2 linked regions of the Macaca mulatta genome follow. The protein of the gene in region 2 purifies or fractionates together with the protein of the main gene of each other region. This does not show direct contact. Links are inferred from orthologs where the notes say so. Each region holds a gene or a part of one and is shown on either strand. Other genes may lie near its edges.

Region 1 (9,857 bases), on a different chromosome or scaffold from region 2:
GTGCCACCATGCCCGGCTAATTTTGTTTTTTTAGTAGAGATGGGGTTTCTCCATGTTGGCCAGGCTGGTGTCGAACTCCTAACCTCAGGTGATCCGCCCACCTCAGCCTCCCAAAGTGCTGGGATTACAGGCATGAGCCACCGCGCCCGGCCCCTGCCTTCTTTATGTCCTGTCTGGAACACAACACCCTGCTCTCCCCAGTAGAGAAGTGACCCCACTAACTGGGGGTGATCACATCTTTGTTTTTGTTTTTGTTTTTTTTTTTTTTGAGACGGAGTCTCGCTCTGCCGCCCAGGCTGGAGTGCAGTGGCCGGATCTCAGCTCACTGCAAGCTCCGCCTCCCGGGTTCCCGCCATTCTCCTGCCTCAGCCTCCCCAGTAGCTGGGACTACAGGCGCCCGCCACCTCGCCCGGCTAGTTTTTTGTATTTTTTAGTAGAGACGGGGTTTCACCATGTTAGCCAGGATGGTCTCGATCTCCTGACCTCGTGATCCGCCCGTCTCGGCCTCCCAAAGTGCTGGGATTACAGGCTTGAGCCACCGCGCCCGGCCTGTTTGTTTGTTTTTGAGACTGAGTTTTTTGCTCTTGTTGCCCAGGCTGGAGTGCAATGTCACAATCTTGGCTCACTGCAACCTCCCCCGCCTCCTGGGTTCAAGCGATTCTCTTGTCTCAGCCTCATGAGTAGCTGGGATTACAGGCACCCACCACCATGCCCAGCTAATTTTTTGTGTTTTTTGTTTTTAGTAAAGACGAGGTTTCACCATGTTGATCAGGCTGGTCTTGAACTCCTGACCTCAGGTGATCCACCCGCCTCGGCCTCCCAAAGTGTTGGAATTACTGGCGTGAGCCACTGCACAAGGCCTCACATCTTTGTTTTACCACCATGTTTTTTATTTTATTTTATTGTATATATGTTATGTATATTATGTTATTTTGTTATGTTATTGATGGAGTTTCTTTCTCGTTGCCCAGGCTGGAGTGCAGTGGCACGATCTCAACTCTCTGCAACCTCTGCCTCCCGGGTTCAAGTGATTCTCCTGCCTCAACCTCCTGAGTAGCTGGGATTACAGGCGCCCGCCACCACACCCAGCTAATTTTTTTTTTGAGACAGAGTCTCGCTCTGTCGCCCAGGCTGGAGTGCAGTGGCGTGATCTCGGCTCACTGCAAGCTCTGCCTCCCAGGTTCATGCCATTCTCCTGCCTCAACCTCCCTAGTAGCTGGGACTACAGGCACCCGCCACCACGTCCGGCTAATTTTTTTGTATTTTTAGTAGAGATGGGGTTTCACCATGTTAGCCAGTATGATCTTGATCTCCTGACCCCGTGGTCCGCCTGCCTCGGACTCCCAAAGTGCTGGGATTACAGGTGTGAGCCACTGCACGTGGCTTTTTTTTTTTTTTTTTTTTTTTGAGATGGAGTCTGGCTTTGTCACCCAGGGTGGAGTACAGTGGTGCCATCTTAGCTCACTGCAGCCTTCACCTCTCAGCTTCAAGCAATTCTCTGCCTCAGCCTCCTGAGTAACTGGGATTACAGGCACCTGCCACCATGCCTGGCTAATTTTTTTTATTTTTTTATTTTTAGTAGAGACAGGGTTTTACCATCTTGGCCAGGCTGGTCTTAAACTCCTGACTTCGTGATCCACCCACCTCAGCCTCCCAAAGTGCTGAGATTACAGGTGTGAGCCACCGTGCCTGGCCAATTTTTTTTTTTTTTTTTTTTTGAGACAGAGTCTTGCTCCGTTGCCCAGGTTGGAGTGCAGTTGTGCAATCTCAGCTCACTGCAACCTCCGCCTCCTGGGTTTAAGCAATTCTCCTGCCTCAGCCTCCTGAGTAGCTGGGACTACAGGCACGTGCCACCACACCCGGCTAATTTTTGTGTTTTTAGTAGAGACAGGGTTTCACCATGTTGGCCAGCCTGGTCTCAATCTCCTGACCTCGTGATCCACCTGCCTCAGCCTCCCAAAGTGCTGAGATTACAGGCATGAGCCACCATGCCTGGCCAATTGTTTGTATTTTTAATAGAGACAGGGCTTCACCATGTTGTCCAGGCTGGTCTCGAACTCCTAACCTCAAGTGATCCACCTGCCTCGGCTTCCCAAAGTGCTGGGATTACAGGTGTGAGCCACCATGTGCAGCTACCACCGTGTTTAGATTCACCTCTTTGTGAACTTTATAAATACTGTGTGTTTTCTTTTGTGTTTGGATTTTTTCATTCGAATACCTTCTCAGATCTATACATGCTGTGGCATATAACTTGCTCATTTTCATTGCTGTTCAGTTTTCTACAATTTATTCTACGCCTGGACACTTGTGTGATTTTCATTTTGGAGTTCTTTCAAATGATGTGGCTGTAAACATCTTTATAAATGTAATTTTGCTGGATGCGGTGACTCCCACCTGTAATCCTAGCACTTTGGGAGGCTGAGGCAGGCAGATCAAGACCAGCCTGGCCAACATGGCGAAACCCTGTCTCTACTAAAAATACAAAAAATTAGCCGGGCATGGTGGCAGGTGCCTGTAATCCCAGCTACTCGAGAGGCTGAGGCAGGAGAATCACTTGAACCCAGGAGGAGGTAGGGGTTCCAGTGAGCCAAGGTCACACCATCGCACTCCAGCCTGAGTGACAGAGCGAGACCCTACCTCAAAAAAAAAAAAAAAAAAAAAATGTGTTCCAGCTCTTGATCTGGGCTGACTTGAACCCCTTTCTTCACAGACTTCCACCGCTGCCAGAAGGCAATGACCACTAAAGGAGGCAATGTCTCTGTGTGCGAATGGTACCAGCGTGTGTACCAGTCCCTCTGCCCCACATCCTGGGTATGTGCCTCCTACCAGGGCCCTTGGGATGCTGGGGTGGGGTCTTTGCAGAGGGGAGCGTGGTGGCTTGGTGGGAGCTCATCTGTGAGGGGCAGAGGGAGGACAGGGCTCCACACTGTCCCAGGACTCAATGCCTTTCCTCCCTCCTAGAACTGCCTCCCTTTCTCCTTCTGTTGATGCCTCTCAACCAGTCAGGGCTCTCAGCTGAGGTGACCAGGGCATCTTGCTAGATGTAGCTCACTCATGCACTCTCCAAATACACACTCAGCACTGGGTTCCCATCCCTGTATAGCTCACAATTCTGTGCAGTCCTGTCCTTTTTTATTATGAGCATTTTCTTTTTCTTTCTTTTTTTTTTTTTTTTAAAGACAGTCTTGCTCTGTTACCAGGCTGGAGTGCAGTGGCGCGATCTTGGCTCACTGCAACCTCCGCCTCCCAGGTTCAAGCGATTCCCCTGCCTCAGCCTCCCAAGTAGCTGGGACTACAGGTGTGCACCACCACGCCCAGCTAGTTTTTTGTATTTTAATAGAGATGGGGTTTCACCATGTCAGCCAGAATGGTCTCGATCTCCTGACTTCATGATCCACCCGCCTCGGCCTCCCACAGTGCCAGGATTATAGGTGTGAGCCACCACGCCCCGCCCTATTATGAACATTTTCAAAGTAGAGAGAATAATTCATTGACCCCAAATACATCCATCACCCAAAGTGAATAGTTATCAAGATTTATCCACAGTTTCTTCATCTACCCTTTTTCTTTTTCTTCTTTCCTTTGCTGAAGTATTCTAAAGCAAGTCCCAGACACATCATTTCACCCCTGCCTACTTCAGTGTAGACTTCTAAATAATGACACAGTAAGAGAGTCCCTTCAGCCCTGATCTGAGCAAATCTGTTGTCAATATTTAATAGCTCTTTGCTATGCCCCTGCCCTTTGTTTAAAAAGCAAAAACAAAAACAAGTTTTTAAAGACAGGGTCTCACGATGTTGCCTCGGCAGGACTCGAACTCCTGGGCTCAAGTGTTCCTCCTGCCTCAGCCTCCTGAGTAGCTGGGACTATAGGCATGTGCCACTGTGCCTGCCTCTCTCTGTGTCTCTCTCTCTCCCCCCCCCACTTCCTCTCTCTCCCTCTCTCCCTCTGCCTCCCTCCTTCTCTCCCTCTGTCCTTCTCTCCCTCTCTCCCTGTCTCCCTCTCCCTCTCCCACTCTTTCTCTCTTTCTTTCTTTTCTTTTCTTTCTTGAGTCTCACGCTGTTGCCCAGTCTGGAGTGCAGTAGCATGATCTCGGCTCACTGTAACCTCTGCCTCCTGGGTTCAAGTAATTCTCCTGCCTCAGCCTCCTGAATAGCTGGGACTACAGGCATGAGCCACCACACCTGGCCCAATTTTTGTATTTTTTTGTAGAAATGGGGTTTCGCCATGTTGCCCAGACTGGTCTCGAACTCCTGAGCTCAAAGCAGTCTGCCTGCCTCAGCCTCCCAAAGTGCTGGGATTATAGGCGTGAGCTACCACATCCAGCTGAATCTTTCAAAATAAAAAAAAATTACCCTTCTTTAACTTGGCAATTCCACATCTAGGCATGCTACAAAAATCTTCATGTACAAAGATGCCCATTGCAGAGCTGTTTGTAATGGGGAATATTTGGAAATAACCCAACTTAAAACATTTATCTTGATAGTCTTTATGGAGACTGTGGTGATCTACGTGCTGGCACACGGAAAGAATGCTAAGACACAGGAAAAGCAAGTTGCAGAACAATCTATATAGTAGGAGTCAATTTGCAAGGATGGAGTTTTTATGGTGTGGTGTGTGTATGTAAATAAAGTAGGCATACACTGATGGCACTTATTATGGGCCAGCTATGTTGTTAGCACTTTGTTTTTTTTTGTTTTTTTTGTTTTTTTGAGATGGAGTCTTGCTGCTCTGTCTCCCAGGCTGGAGTGCAGTGGTGCAATCTCAGCTCACTGCAACCTCCGCCTCCCGGGTTCAGCAATTATCCTGCCTCAGCCTCCCGAGTATCTGGGATTACAGGCGCCTGCCACCACGCCCAGCTGATTTTTGTATTTTTAGTGGAGACAGAGTTTCACCATGTTGGCCAGGCTGGTCTCAAACTCCTGACCTCAGGTGATCCACCTGCTTCGGCCTTCCAAAGTGCTGGGATTACAGGCGTGAGCCACTGTGCCCGGCCATGTTAGCACTTTACATCACATGAGGTCAACATGCTAAAACAACCGTATGAGGTAGGTACTATTGTTAGTATCCTCATTTTACGGAATTGGAAACTGAGGCCCAGAAAGGTTGAGTAACTTGCCCAAGGTCACACAGCTCGGAAGTGATGGAGCAGGGATTCAGATTCAGTCTCTCCATTGTCCATGCTTTCATCCACTGTTCCTTTCACCAGTGGTCCTCACCCTTTTTGGCACCAGGGACGGGTTTCATGGAAGACAGTTTTTCCACAGACAGGGTTGGGGATGGTGTAAGGATGAGTCCAGCATATTACATGTATTGTCCACTTTATTCCTACTATTATTACAATATATAATAAAATAATTATACAACTCACCATACTGTAGAATCAGTGGGAGCCCTGAGCTTGTTTTCCTCCAACGAGATGGTCCCATCTAGGGGTGATGGGAGACAGTAACAGATCATCAGGCATTAGATTCTCATAAGGAGCGCACCGCCTAGATCCCTGGCATGCGCAGTTCACAATAGGGTTCGCACTCCTGTGAGAATCTAATGCCGCCGCTGATCTGACAGGAGGTGGAACTCGGGCAGTAATTTGAGCCTTAGGGAGTGCTTGTAAATATAGTTGAAGCTTCTCTCGCTCACCTGCCGCTCACTTCCAGTTGTGCGGCCCAGTTCCTAATAGGCCACAGACCAGTACCTGGTTGGGGCTCAGGGACCCCTGCCTTATAGCATAAAATGTGAGCACATATGTATATAAAAACGTTTATGCTTGTAACTGCCTGTGAGGCCCACAGAGTAGAGTGTTACTTTCAGGGAGTGTTAATTTGACATAGGCCTTATATGGGCCTTTTCATCTTTTTTTTATTTTTATTTTTATTTTTGTTTTTAGAGAGACAATCTTGCTCTGTCACTCAGGCTGGAGGGCAGTGTGCAATGGTAGCATCATAGCTCACTGCAGCCTCGAACTCCTGGGTTCAGGCAGTTCTCCCACCTCAGCCTCCCTAGTCACTGGGACTACAGGTGCATGCCACCATGCCTGGCTAAGTTTTGTATCTTTTGTAGAGACAGGGTTTTGCCACGTTCACCAGGCTGGTCTCAAACTCCTGGGCTCAAGCGATCCTTCCACTTCCACCTCCCAAAGTGCTGGGATTATAGGCATGAGCCACCATGCCCCGCTTGTTTTTTGTTTTTTGTAGAGATGGGGGTCTTGCTGTGTTGTCCAGGTTGGTCTCAAACTCCTGAGCTCAAGCAGTCCTCCTACATTGGCCCCGCAAAGTGCTGGGATGACAGGCGTGAGTCCTGAGTCACCACACCCAGCCTCTATCATCATTTATACTAAGCATTGCCTGTGGTCAGTGGTGGGATTGCACTGTGTATTCCGTTTGGCACCTTTTTTGCACTTGACTGTATATCTTGAAGATCATGCCATTCATGCCAGAACATAAATCAGCCTCGTTTTGTTTTTTCACAGCTGCCTGCTATTCCATCTCCCCTATTTGGACAAACAGCATAGTGTTGACATGAGGTTTTCAAAGCAGGGCCCACCCTTGGAGCTCTGTACAGTGACAGATCTCCCCATCGACAGCTCTGCAGTGGGCCTGGGGTTTTCCTGCTGCCTGTTACTCTCCTCCCAGCACGTCAGCTTGTTCAGAACAGTGATTTCTGTCTTTTGGGGTCACTGCTGATTCCCCGGCCCCTGGAATAGAGGTTGGCACACAGCAGGTACCTGTGGATATTGGTTGAACAAACAGGTGGGCAAAGTGAGGAAGATAAGAAGTCCCCCCATGCGGTTTCCCTACCGCGGTGGGAATAACACTGTCTTTCCACAGGTCACAGACTGGGACGAGCAACGGGCTGAAGGCACGTTTCCCGGGAAGATCTGAACTGGCTGTACCTCCCTGTCTTCTGTCCTCTGTCCTTCTCCCAGGATGGTGAAGGGGGACCTAGTACCTAGTGATCCCCACCCCGGGATCCTAAATCGTGACTTACCTGCTAATAAAAACTCATTGGAAAAGTGAGACCATGCGTGTGAATGGGCTAGGCAGTGGCAAGAAGCTGGGCTGGAATCAGTGCCCTGACCAGGGAGGGGCTTCAGTGAGTATTTTTTCTGTTTTGTGTTTATTTTTTTAATTTAATTGTTTTATTTTGTTTTTGTTTTTTTATGATAGAATCTCATTCTGTCACACAGGCTGGAGTGCAATGGCATGACCTCTGCTCACTGCAACCTCCACCTCCGGTGCTCAAGCGACTCTCCTGCCTCAGCCTCCCAACTAGCTGGGTCTACAGGCACACTCCACCACGCCTGGCTAATTTTTGTATTTTTAGTAGAGATGGGGTTTCACCATGTTGGCCAGGCTGGTCTCAAACTCCTGACTTCAGGTGATCCACCTGCCTCAGCCTCCCAAAGTGCTGGGATTACAGGCATGAGCCACCGCGCCCAGCATTTTTTAACTTAATTTTATTGAACCTTGACTACCCTCTCTGTGCCAGTCAATGAGTCAAATAGTTGATTATACAGAATAACCTAAGTACCTATGTGTGCAACCACCCTACATAATTTTAAAGCCAATCCTGGAGATTATATTTTATCCAGAAATAAGAAACTATATGTATCTCTTGGAGATACCATTTTTTTTTTTTTTTTTTTGAGACTGAGTCGCAATCTGTTGCCCAGGCTAGAGTGCAGTGGTGTCATCTCAGCTCTCTGCAACCTCTGCCTTCTGGGTTCAAACTATTCTCCTGCCTCGAGATACCTATTTTTTTAAACATAATTATTTACACCTAAGAAATTAGTTCTTAATGGCCAGGTGCGGTGGCTCACGCCTATACTCCCAGCACTTTGGGAGGCCGAGGCGGGCGGATCACCTGAGGTCTGGAGTTCAAGACCATCCTGGGCAACACGGTGAAACCCCATCTCTACTAAAAATACAAAATTAGCTGGACGTGGTGGCGGGCGCCTATAATCCTAGCTACTCAGGAGGCTGAAGCAGGAGAAACGCTTGAACCTGGGAGGCAGAGGTTGCAGAGGGCGGAATCGGGATTCGAACCTAGGTTTCTCATTCTGCAGCCTGAAGAAATACATGTCTGCTTGGTCCATGTGTGTGTTGGGGGGCAACAGGGACTTTTCTTCAATCAAGCCCAGTGTGCCCCTCTTACTTTCTAGCACGTTCTTCTTCCCGCTCTTTGTACTCATCTCAGACTCCCCTCACACATCTATCCTGGGTGCCATCCTTTCCCTCAGCCCACTGCCCATGTAATCAGCCTCCTAAGCACCCCTTCCACCTGTCCCCTCATCTCCCCACTGCTCTGTCTTGGTGCAGCCCTGGCCTCGGCAGGGGTCCCTGCCTGGGCCTCCCCACGGGCTCCCGGCTTCACAGAGGAGCAGCCACCTGCCCAAGGTCACACAGCAGAAGAGGCACTTTTGGGATTCAGGACCCATCTGTGGGTCTGAAGTGGATTTTTTGTTTGTTTTTGGAGACAGGGCCTGGCTCTGTCACTCAAGCTGGAGTGCAATGGCATGATCTTGGCTCACTACAACCTCTGTCCCCCAGGTTCAAGCCATCCTCACACCTCAGCCTCCCAAGTAGCTGGGACCACAGGCATGAGTCTGGCTGATTATTTTTGTATTTTTTTTTTTTTGAAACGGGTTTTCACCGTGTTATCCAGTCTGGTCTCAAACTACTGAGCTCAAGCGATCCACTTACCTCAGTTTCCCAAAGTGCTGGGATTACAGGCCTGAGCTACCACGCCCTCCCCTGATTTGGATCTTTTTTTTTTTTTTTTTGAGATGGAGTCTCTGTCGCCCAGGCTGGAGTGCAGTGACGCGATCTCGGCTCACTTTAAGCTCCGCCTCCCGGGTTCACGTCATTCTCCTGCCTCAGCCTCCCGAGTAGCTGGGACTACAGGCGCCCGCCACCACGCCTGGCTAATTTTTTTTGTATTTTTAGTAGAGACGGGGTTTCACCGTGTTAGCCAGGATGGTCTCCATCTCCTGACCTCGTGATCCGCCCGTCTCGGCCTCCCAAAGTGCTGGGATTACAGGCGTGAGCCACTGCGTCCGGCCTTGGATCTTGCTCCTACTTCCAGGAAGGCCCATGTCCTAGCAAGAGAGATGCCAGGTGGTGCGCGCACCCCTCCACCCCCAACTCCACCACCAATGGAGCCTGGGACCCAGAGGCCATGGGTCCTACACAATCTGGAATTTCAAGTCTATAAATCATGGGGGTGGCAGGGAGCCCATAGAAGCTGTTCACCCATCCTGGTCTGCCGGCTCGGCCTCTTGTCCACCCCCTGCCGTGCCCCAAAACACACATACACACCCTCCCTCCTTCCTGGGAGACCGGCCCAAGGAGGGGCCTGGGCATATATAGGAGCCACAGTGGGTGGAGATGGCCAGAGAGGCTGCAGACAGGGAAGGTGAGGAGGGGACTCTGGAAGTCTGGGTGTGGCATAGGGGGTCTGAGGCTCAGGAAGAGGCAGTGCCAAGTTCGGGCCAGTGACTGCCCCACCGGAGCCTGGGTGTCCTCTTCTGCAAAATGCCTCCCCGCCAGGGCTGTGGGCACATCGGTACCAGCCTGGGCCCTGCAGAGAGCTGGAGCAACCCCTCGCAGCTGGGGTGTGGCTCAGAGATGGGGGGTCCGGCTGGCCCTTTACACTCCTGGCCTCATCCTTGCTCATGTGTCCCAGGATGATGGCGTCTACAGCAGCAGCAGAGGCTGAGAAGGGATCTCCAGTTGTGGTGGGCCTGCTAGTTGTGGGCAACATCATTATTCTGGTGAGACTCGCCCCAGTGCTGGGAGCCGAGTGGTTGTGTGGTGGGGAGAGGGCAGTCCTGAGCTCGGGGTGGGGGATGAGGGTCCAGA
Region 2 (10,427 bases):
TCCTGGGGTCAAGCAATTCTGCCTCAGCCTCCCGAGCAGCTGCGATTATAGGTGCCTACCACCACGCCTAGCTAATTTTTTCTATTTTTAGTAGAGACAGGGTTTCAGCGTGTTGGCCAGGCTGGTCTCGAATTCCTTCCTTCAGGTGACCTGCCCACCTCAGTCTTCCAAAGTGCTGGGATTACAGGCATGACTCACCATGCCAAGCCAATGATTCTAATTTATATTTTAAAAAATTACCCTATGATCTTAAAACTTTTAACTGATTAGTATCCAAGCCTTAAACTTCATAACAATTATTTCAAAAGTGGAAAAGTCACTGGGATATGGGAACAAGTATGATTTGTATTTATACTTCCATTTTTCTAATGTCTACTTTTTGTTTTCTAGTATACATGTTAGCACAGGAGTATATGTATTACTTAAGCATGCCTATGTTGGGGTGAATACATAATTTATTTTTAAATGATAGGATGCAAAATCAAATCTATTTGGATAGCAGTGAAGAGGCTATTTCTCAATCCTGGCAAACTAGGGGGTGTACTCCCCCTTCTTTTATTCAGTAGCTTCCACAAGGATGTAACTTATGGAAGTTATATCCTTCCATAAACTGATAGGCTATCCAACCAGTGAGGAAAACTGATAAAGTGGCCTCTGAGCTCCAGGCAGCAGTTAAACACGACTAAAAATATCTTGAAAGTTTGTAAAAAAATTTAACAGTAAATGGATTCAGTAGTTATTCAGTGTAAGGTTTGGAATTCAAAAACTCCAGCCATTACAATAGACATTTATTTAAAGTAAAACATCTGCAGACCAAACAATTCTTAAAATTGTTTGTTTCAAGTATAACCATCTTCATAACAGCTGCATTCACAGACTTCAACTACATGATTACTTCTTTGCCCATTCTTCTCTTTCTTTTCTTTCCCGAATAACCTCTTTCAGATACGGTTCAAGGTAGAAATTTTCCTAAAGAATGAATGAAATATTATATGTTACCATTGCGTACTGATATATCCCAAACACTCAACAGGTCTTCGATAACAAGAAAAAGAAAATTACTTTTTAATTTCCAATTTTAGAAAACATATTCTCAACCTAAGAACTATCTGCTTTTTAAAAAGTCAAATCTGTGGTGATAGTGTGGTAAGTTGCTTTGATAGGTTATGAGAGGGAAGTCTTTTTGGGAAGAAAAAGAAATGAGTGTCTACAGGCCTTCGCCTAGTTTCAATGCAGTTCAAGGGGTGAGAGTTTGCTTCACAGAAGCTCTTCTTGGGATCTGGAGGGCCACTCAATGGGCTGATCTTTTCATCTAAGTAGGAAGCAGAGTGCAGAGGTAGAACAACAATGACCTGGGTGGCAACAGACCTGGATTTTAGTCCTGGCTCTCTATATTAGAGACTTGCTTAGTGATTTCAGAAGAATCATTTCACATATAAGAGTCAATGTGGTTTTCTTCTAAAACGGAAATAACATTTGCTTTATTAACCTCACCAAACTATTGACAGAATATTTATTTGACATGACTCAGAAAACTCTAACACCACGCAAATGAACATGTTTCTCGTTTCTAAAACTCAATCCTTAATGAGCAACATTGTCAGGTAGATAAAGCTGTGCTACCTCTTCATATTTGGTCCACTGCTCTTTAGGCAAGATCTGATGCTTCAGGTTCAGGTCCAGTGCCCTCTTAATTCGAAACACCCTGCCATTATAAAGGTTCTCAGGAAGCCTTCTTATGGCTTCTTTTACGTCTTCATCCTCGTACATTGTATCATCTCGCAATAACCCTATGACAGACGACAAAGTTAGATAGCACATGCATCTCAAAGATCACGTTTTTTTAAAATTAGTAAAATATCTTTATGACTTATAACTTACAACTTTTGGTGAACTATCGAATTCAAATCACTAGGTTCAATGGAAATTCAATGCACTTCATACATTAGGTTGGTGCAAAAGTAATTGCGGTTTTGCCATTAAAAGTAATGAGTTATTACTTGACATAATGGGTTATTTCTTGAACTAGACTATGGAAACAATATATGAGCCTCTTAAAATCCAATGCCACAAAATTCATATTTTATCTAAACCATTTACAAAATATTTTAAATGTTTACTTTGTTTTTAAACACACATTAATAAACCACATCTCTACTTTCTCATAGTTTAAATCTGAGATCAAGGTATTAATGAATCTTAAAATAATAGTATACTAAGGAACCAGTGACTTTTGCTTACACTTTCTTCAAGCTTCAATAGCAAAAGATGAAGTTCATGGCAAATTACAAAGTTCTAAAAAAGCTTAGGAAACATATGATCGCATGGATATGATAAAATTTTAATATTTGAAAAATCTCTACTTTCAGTGTTTATAAAACTTAAAATTTTAAGTGGAATGCTGGGCGCACTGGCGCATACCTGTAATCCCAGCACTTTGGAAGGCAGAGGCAGGTGGATCACCTGAGGTCAGGAGCTCGCCACCAGCCTAACATGGTGAAACCCTGTCTCTACTACATACAAAAAAAATTAGCCAGGCATGGTGGCACACGCCTGTAATCCCACCTACTCAGGAGGCTGAGGCAGGAGAATCACTTGAGCCCGGGAGGCGGAGGTTGCAGTGAACTGAGATTGCGCCACTGCACTCCAGCCTGGTGACAGAGCAAGACTCTGTCCCAAATAAATAAATAAAATTTTAAGTGGTAGAGTTGGGAGAAGGGGTGTAGAAGGAAAATGTCTTACTACTTAAATCATTACCAAGTCAAACATTTTAGAGGCTTTCATCCCTCTCCTCTCAAAAAAATTTTAAAAAGGAACTGGATTTAACATAATGTGATTTAATTTTAACATCTTCTGATGTATACAAGAACTGAAATATTTTTTGGAACCACAGTAACACTTGTAAAAGCAATACTCTCAGAAAAAAAAGAAAAATTAAAAAGCACAGATGCTTACCCAGTTTATTGAATCCTGCAGCATTGTAATACCATTTTCGAATACCATCCAGCCACTTGCCTGATGCTGAAACTGATCATTGTCACACTGTTAGTTGCTACAATTATACTATATGAACACACTGATGGGCAAGCAACCAGTACTCAGTTATCTTGCTGATGAATGCAAACATAGAAAGAAATTTCCTTTTAAAAGTATATACTATATACAGCAAGAATTTAATCAAAAAAGAATTAGATTTAAAAGAAAAAAGTTTATAAACTGTTGATAAAAATTGCTTATTTTATTTATGAGCAAAAGTGGCTGCAGGAAAATGGTGGCAAGTCATGGAAGAAGAGGGTAAACTCAAACATTGAATGTACAAAAGATCCATAGGTACATCGTGTGCCCTTATGCCTGCCCTGTTACCTTCAGAAATGAAGGGGTGAGAGATAGGAAAAGGACTTGGAAATTTCTATCATTTGTAGTTTCATAAATAGATCACAGGAAATAATTGTAAACTTTTCATTTCAAAGGAGCTGGAGTTGTATGAAAAGAGAGTGAGATTTCAGCATAGGCTGGCAGGTCTAAATGACCCTCATCCTGTAAAAATTTTACTCGACATTACAGTTATTTCATTTGGCTACATTCTTTAAAAATATATGTATTTTGGGGAGGATTTTGATACCATTAGTCATTTAAACATTAATATGGATTAGTAAAAGAAGTCCATTTACCTCCTCCTAAGCAACTAAGTTCCCCCCAAGGGAATAGGTATTGAAAACGGATGAGAAATGGGTAATTTTAAAATTCTTGCCGGGCGCGGTGGCTCAAGCCTGTAATCCCAGCACTTTGGGAGGCCGAGACGGGCGGATCACGAGTTCAGGAGATCGAGACCATCCTGGCTAACACAGTGAAACCCTGTCTCTACTAAAATACAAAAAAAATTAGCCGGGCGAGGTGGCGGGCGCCTGTAGTCCCAGCTACTCGGGAGGCTGAGGCAGGAGAATGGCGTGAACCCGGGAGGCGGGGCTTGCAGTGAGCTGAGATCCGGCCACTGCACTCCAGCCTGGGGGACAGAGCCAGACTCCGTCTCAAAAACAAACAAACAAACAAAAAAAAAAAATAAATAAATAAAATTCTTTGGGGAACAGGGCTGAGTCTGATGAAGTAACCCAGCAGGGTCCAAGTACAGCAGGACCGTACCTGACATTTTAGGAGAGACGTTTTACAAAAGGGGAGGTAGAACAAGTTTACATTTTCTTTTAAAATTTTGTCTAGCGTTAGCCCCTTACCAAGGAAGGAAAGCAAACTCTCCTTTCACTCAGCCCTCCTTGCCTGCAAACTCAGTGCACTACAGATTACGTGGCTTCAGCACATCTCCTTGGAAATGAAGTCATGTATAAAACTGCTGCCAGAAAAACAAGTATCAGTCAACAATCTACAAACATACTTGTGGAAGACAGATTATTTTTAACCACCTATCAGTGACTAGAATAATATTCACTAAACACTTATTGTGCACCAAACACTTTCCTATTTGCTTTACCAACATTAGCTGATTTATTTACATGCCTCTTACTACAGCAAGGGAAGCAGACTTACAGAAGTGATCCCACCCAAGGTCAGTTAGCTAATGGGAGTTGAGATCTGGTCTATGTAGATCCCAAACACGCACAGAATCAGTGTCTTGAATTTAGTAAGACTCCTTCAATATCTGCTAAATTAATAAAATAATTATTTAAAAAGTCTCCCCCACCCCCAAAAAGCTCAATGTCAATTAGGTTAGCGGATGTTTCTGGCAACCTGATGTTTCCTAACAGCTTCACAATTGCTGGGGTCAGGGAGAAAAGGATCAATATTTTTTAAAAGCTACTCCAACTTGGTTGCATTGCAGTGAGACGAGATTGTGCCACTGCACTCCAGCCTGGGCGACAAAGCAAGACTCCTTCTCAAAAGAAAAAAAAAAAAAAAAAAAAAAAAGATACTCCAACTTGTACCGCCAGAGGGCAGAGATTAGCAAAAAAAAAAACAAAACAAAAAAACAAGGAAACCCAACTTAATGTTCAAGTTGTTTTAAATATTCCAGTAATATCTGCATTCTATTCCACAATAAATTTGTTTGAACCTACAATAAATTCAAATTTCTCCAAACCTACTGATCAAGCTGACGTTCTAGATAATCCAAGGTTAATGTGAAGCGTCGCTCGTATCCCTTGCTAGACTGTCTCTGATTCACAGTTTGAGAAGCGCGAGGGGTGCAATGAAATTTCCAATTCTACTTCCTTGGGTCACTTTGCCTCAGTTGTCTTATCAGCGTAAACGGGAAATTAATATCTCCCTCGTGGCACTGGCAGGAGAATTTATAGGGCCAATGCACACGATAGAGCACCTGGGTCATAGAAGAAAGCACTGAGCTCATTCTGGTTGAAAGTCATCCACTAGTTATCTTCTTGTGACCTTTAACTTTTCTAAGGCCGAGGGGAAGGACTTCCGAGCACAGGCAGCTGGAACTCCAGGGCTGTTAGAGCCACCGCGGGCACCTTCACAAACAGCGGGTTAACACCCCAACCCTATATAGGCAAGCCCGGCCTGGGAACAACAAACGAGTGGGGAAGCACGTCCTTTTGGCTGGACTGAAGCCGCCACTTTCCCTTCCGCGACAAACTTGGTGACTTACAAAGAAGAGAGAAAACGGAGTGAGCTGCAGCGAAAATAAACGGTGGAGCGCGACGATGCCCGCCAAGAAGACTCCCCAGTCACTTACCCGCCTGCTTGCCAGCCATTTTGACCAGAAAATGAAACGTTGCCTTCTGGGTAAGTCATAGAGGACACGCTGGGCCCAGTCCGCAGGCGCGTTACGCCACATCGCGAACCGAGAAACGCCGCTTGCGCAGGCGCAGTTCTGACGGCTGTCGTTGAGCTCTTGCGTGTGCACTTCTCGGCCAGGGTGAGGCCAATGGAGTAGGCGGGGCGTTTTGCGTGCTACATTCCAAGAAGTATTGGTTGTGATGTGATGGGAAGAACACAGGTCAGGAATTAGGAGACCGAGGCTTAAAGCTGGGTTCTGTTACTTGCTGTTAATAGCTATGAGAGCGTGGGCAGTATGAATTCAGCTCTTTGTGCCAGGCAGGAAGCTAAATGTTTTAAGGGCATCGTTTTATTTTCTATTGAAGGACTGATGGATGCGCCATCCCAAAAATATATGGAATTGGTACACTGATTATTTGGAGTTGAAAATGTTGGAGAAATTGTAGTTTCAGAAAGGGTTTGATGACCCATCTCTTCCTGCATGCAGCAAGCCGTAAAGTTTCCTCCAGGATTCCTCCGGAGTACCCGTCCCTTACCAGAGGGAGAAAATAGCACCCATCACCAGAGACTGGAAACTGGGAGCTGCTTTGGACCTGAATATACTTTCCGAAATAACCCTTATCTTCCACTAAGTTTACACCCCACCACACCCACGTTTCTCCTAATGACTCCGCAAGAAATTCACTGCCCCTAGCCAGATCCCCTTTCTTCTGATTTGTAGTTCGTGTAAAAAGTATAAAGGCATCTTACATTGGCCACTTCACTCTCTTGTGAGGATCCCCATGCACATGTAAAACATGTAAAACTAGTAAAATTAGTATGCTTTTCTCTTGTTAATCTGCCTTGTGTCAATTTGGTTCCTAGATCCAACCAAAGAGCCCACATAAGAGCAAAGGCGTGATCTCTCACTCCCCTACACTGTCATTTAATTCTAAAAGTACTGTCATTATCTCATTGTAGATAGGAGAAAGCTGAAGCTCAGAAAGGTTGAATAACTTGTCCAAGAGGACATGACTAGAAGAGTCCAGGTTCTTCTTCCAGAATCTGAAAATCCAGACGCAAACTTAGGGCTCCTTAATTCTAGGGCCATATGCTACACTACTAATCCAGGAAAGACACCAAGCCTTTCAGGCCTTGGGTTTCTCCAGCTGAAGATCTACATCTAGCTATTTTAGTGGAAGGTTAGGTCAGAAAGGTTTTGGGTTTTTCGTTTGGTTGGTTGGTTGGTTTTTTTTTTTTTTTTTTTTTTTGGTCACCTCTTTTTTTGTTGTTCAGCCTCTATCACCCAGGCTGAATGGCACAATCTTGGCTCACTGCAACTTCTGCCTCCAGGGTTCAAACGATTCGTGCCTCAGCCTCCTGAGTAGCTGAGACTACAGGTGTACATGCCACCATGCTCGCTAATTTTTGTATTTTTAGTAGAGACAGGGTTTCACCGTGTTGGCCAGGCTGGTATCAAACTCTTGACCTCAAGTGATGCACCCACGTCGGCCTCCCAAAATACTGGATTACAGGTGTGAGCCATCACGCCCAGAAGAAAAGGTTTTTAAAGATTAAATCTAAGATGTATTGCAGAATTTGCACATAATTTAAAGACAAAAGTATATAGATTTGCTAACTATTAAGGTCTCAGCCCCAACATGTGAAGTCTTAGGCATAAACATCTAGAGACAGAAAACAATTGGGGGGAACTGGCATGACTGATAGTTACTGGTGAACTTCTACCATTACTCGGTGATATCTTTTTTCCCCTCAGTTTTAAGCTCAGAGCTGGGACAATATAGAATAGAACCTTGTCTCGTCGTAAGTTCAAAAGGTTAGATTTAATGATCTTAGTCACATTCCAGTTCTAAGATTCTATTGATTTTCCTTTTTCTTTTATCTCCATGCTGCTACAATTCTTCTATTAGTCAGTCCTGTATGCAGCACTAAAGCTGATGAATGATCTCTTCTATCTTACACTAGCCAAAGTGAAGTCTGAAAGATGTGAAGAAATGCAATACATATGTACATTGGCACATTGCCCTGCAGAGGGTAGGTACTCAATAAACTCTCCTCCCTTCTACCCTTTACGTTTTACTTGCTGGTTACAGGTGAAGGTGACAAGAAAAGACATATCAAAAAATCAGAAACCCAAAATTGTCACAAAATCCAGCTCCTAAGGAATTAAGCTAGAGACTGAATGTTTGCTGGTAGTCATTAATGTTGATTCAAAAACTAATTTTGGTTTTCTTTCCTCCCAGCACAGGATTAGGGATTGCCTTTCTCTGCCCTCAAAGTTAGGCATGGCCATGTGATACTTTAGCCAAGAAAAATGTGATAACTCTTTAAGAGCAATTCTTCACATTCCTTTCCTTTTCCATAGACTGGTAACACTCCAGAAATGATGGAGACAGGATACATCAACCTGTATCACTAAAGATGATGTGGAGCAGAGCCTTTGTGGTCCTAAGAGACATGTATAAGATAAAAACCTTTTGTGGTTTTTCAATCATTTGAGGTTTTAGGATTGTTCATTGTATCAGCACAACTTGCCTATTCTAAGGTTGTTCAGTGGGTTATTCATAAAGGCAAAATGCGGTTGTGAGCCATACAAAGAGAGGACAGGATGGTTCCATGGTGTCCCCAGCTTATTTTTTATTGTTTCCTGTTTGTTGATCTCATCCATTGGCGAACTCCATGAAAGCACCTATCTATGTCACACTCACTACTGTATTCTAGGAACTCAAATGTCGGTTGCATGAATAAAATATGTAACAGGAAAGCCACTATACCTGGCCCTGACCAATTACAAATTTAGTTTTTCATGAGGTTTTTTGAAGGGCATCCAGCACACCACAAAACCCTCAGCACAACAAACTACCCCGAAAGTTAGTGACTTAAAACACTTTCTCCCAATTCTGAATTCAGCTGGGTTGTTCTGCTTAGTGTAGTGTCTGCTAAGGCTGGGACATCCCAGATAACTTCTTCATGCATGTCTGGTACTCAGTTGGCATGGCTGAAAAAGCTGGGGTTTGGCCAGACATCTTTCTCTCCACCTAGTTTCTCCAGCAGAGTAACCAGACCTCTCTATACCGTAGCTTTGGGTGCCAAGAGCAAATGTTCCAAGAGGGCAAGCCCTGATGTGCAAATTCTTATCAAGCCTGTGCTTGACAAATGTCCCCTGGGCCAAATCACATTGGCCCAGAGTCAGTGTGGGAGAGGACTAACTACACAACAGTGCAAATACCAGGTGTGGTTCATGGGGGTTACCAGTGTTAACAGTCTACCCAATCTAGTGATCATAACGCAGACAACTGAAGTTGCGATACTTTGTTTTACAAATAAAAAAGCAAAGACTCAGAGATGAAATCACTTGCCCAGGATAACACATCATAAACAGAAAACAAATCTTTGTTTACTGGTAATAAGTCAAAGGCTAGTTAAGCCTTTCACTATATCTCATTGCCCCTAATCTTTAAACTCCACTTTCCTTTTCCTGATTCTTAGCCAACTGTGAATATCTGTGTTCAAGAAGTTAACAATGTAGATAATCCAAAATGAAGTGTGCTTTGTGGCATTATCTGAGCTGTAGATATTAGATGACTAATGTAGTATGTGCTCTGGAAACTTGTAACAGTTCAAATGAAATAAAGCCATTTTATAATGAAACCACTTTAAAAATCCTCCGTTTTCATCTTCACTAGAATGACAAAGCACCAACTTAAAGTAAACCAACTCTCTCCCTTTCTCTGAACTCGCTGTATTTTCTAAGAAGGAAAAGGTAAACAAGAATTGAGTCACTAGGAACTTGATGAAAAATCTACCACAGTATATGTACCCAAATTTACAGTATCAAATGGTTTCCAATATCAGTTGAGACCCGAGGCATTTAAAAATATATTCATTTATTCATACATATATTCACTTTACAATATTGCATTTTCACATACATAAAAATCTAAAGCGTTTTTAAGAATTTATCAAAGTCTTGTACTGATGCTTTGGCAATCTCTTCACAAAATATTTCATCAGGAATAGATACGAGTTTGTCCAAAGAGATGTAGTTAGGTTTTGCTGGATCATACTGGGCTCTTCCTAAATAGGTAAGAAACAAGTGTCTTTCTTTGATTTTAAACAGCCTTGTATTAAATACCTAGAAAAGAAAAAAAGTTTTTAAAAAACATTGCACATTGGAGGATGAAACATTAAAAAGTTTACTTGGCAAAAATTTTAATAGGTTAACCAATACAAAGTACTAACCACGTGTTCAGTAAGTAGGATAAATGCCAGAGGATTTAAATCCTATATTTTCTGTTAAAAAACTAGAAAAAGGGATTCAAAATCAACATACAAAACAATAATAAAATAATTAAGGGCTATAATGTGGGCAAAGAAGATTGAGTGCTCCAGAGACAGAGGAGAATGTGTTAAAAAAGCAAATCTTCGGCCTGGCGCGGTGGCTCACGCCTGTAGTCCTAGCACTTTGGGAGGCTGAGGCAGGCAGATCATCTGAGGTCAGGAGTTCAAGACAAGCCTGGCCAACATGGCAAAACCCTATCTCTACTAAAAATACAAAAATTAGCTGGGCGTGGTGGCACATGCCTATAATCCCAGCTACTCGGGAGGTTGAGGCAGGAGAATTGGTTGAACCCAGGAGACAGAGGTTGCAGTGAGCCGAGATCCTGCCACCACCTCCAGCC

What was found.
Region 1: the proteins of UQCRB (region 2) and COX6B1 purify together in Homo sapiens (affinity purification with mass spectrometry; 3 studies listed by BioGRID and IntAct, counting the BioPlex papers as one, with this or other methods). This does not show direct contact. The link is inferred for Macaca mulatta from reciprocal best matches to the Homo sapiens genes UQCRB and COX6B1.

The regions. Positions count from the first base shown.
Region 1 is NC_133424.1:46,914,926-46,924,782, forward strand, and holds the end of COX6B1 (cytochrome c oxidase subunit 6B1), read left to right. Parts: intron 1-2,710; coding exon 2,711-2,811; exon of another isoform or gene 2,812-3,431; intron 3,432-3,806; exon of another isoform or gene 3,807-4,348; intron 4,349-6,824; coding exon 6,825-6,878; 3' UTR 6,879-7,012; downstream 7,013-9,857. UniProt on the Homo sapiens protein: Component of the cytochrome c oxidase, the last enzyme in the mitochondrial electron transport chain which drives oxidative phosphorylation.
Region 2 is NC_133413.1:106,632,972-106,643,398, forward strand, and holds the start of UQCRB (cytochrome b-c1 complex subunit 7), read right to left. Parts: upstream 5,728-10,427; 5' UTR 5,721-5,727; coding exon 5,702-5,720; intron 3,028-5,701; coding exon 2,956-3,027; intron 1,791-2,955; coding exon 1,624-1,790; intron 970-1,623; coding exon 892-969; 3' UTR 1-891. Other genes in the region: MTERF3 (transcription termination factor 3, mitochondrial), read right to left, coding at 9,686-9,880. UniProt on the Homo sapiens protein: Component of the ubiquinol-cytochrome c oxidoreductase, a multisubunit transmembrane complex that is part of the mitochondrial electron transport chain which drives oxidative phosphorylation.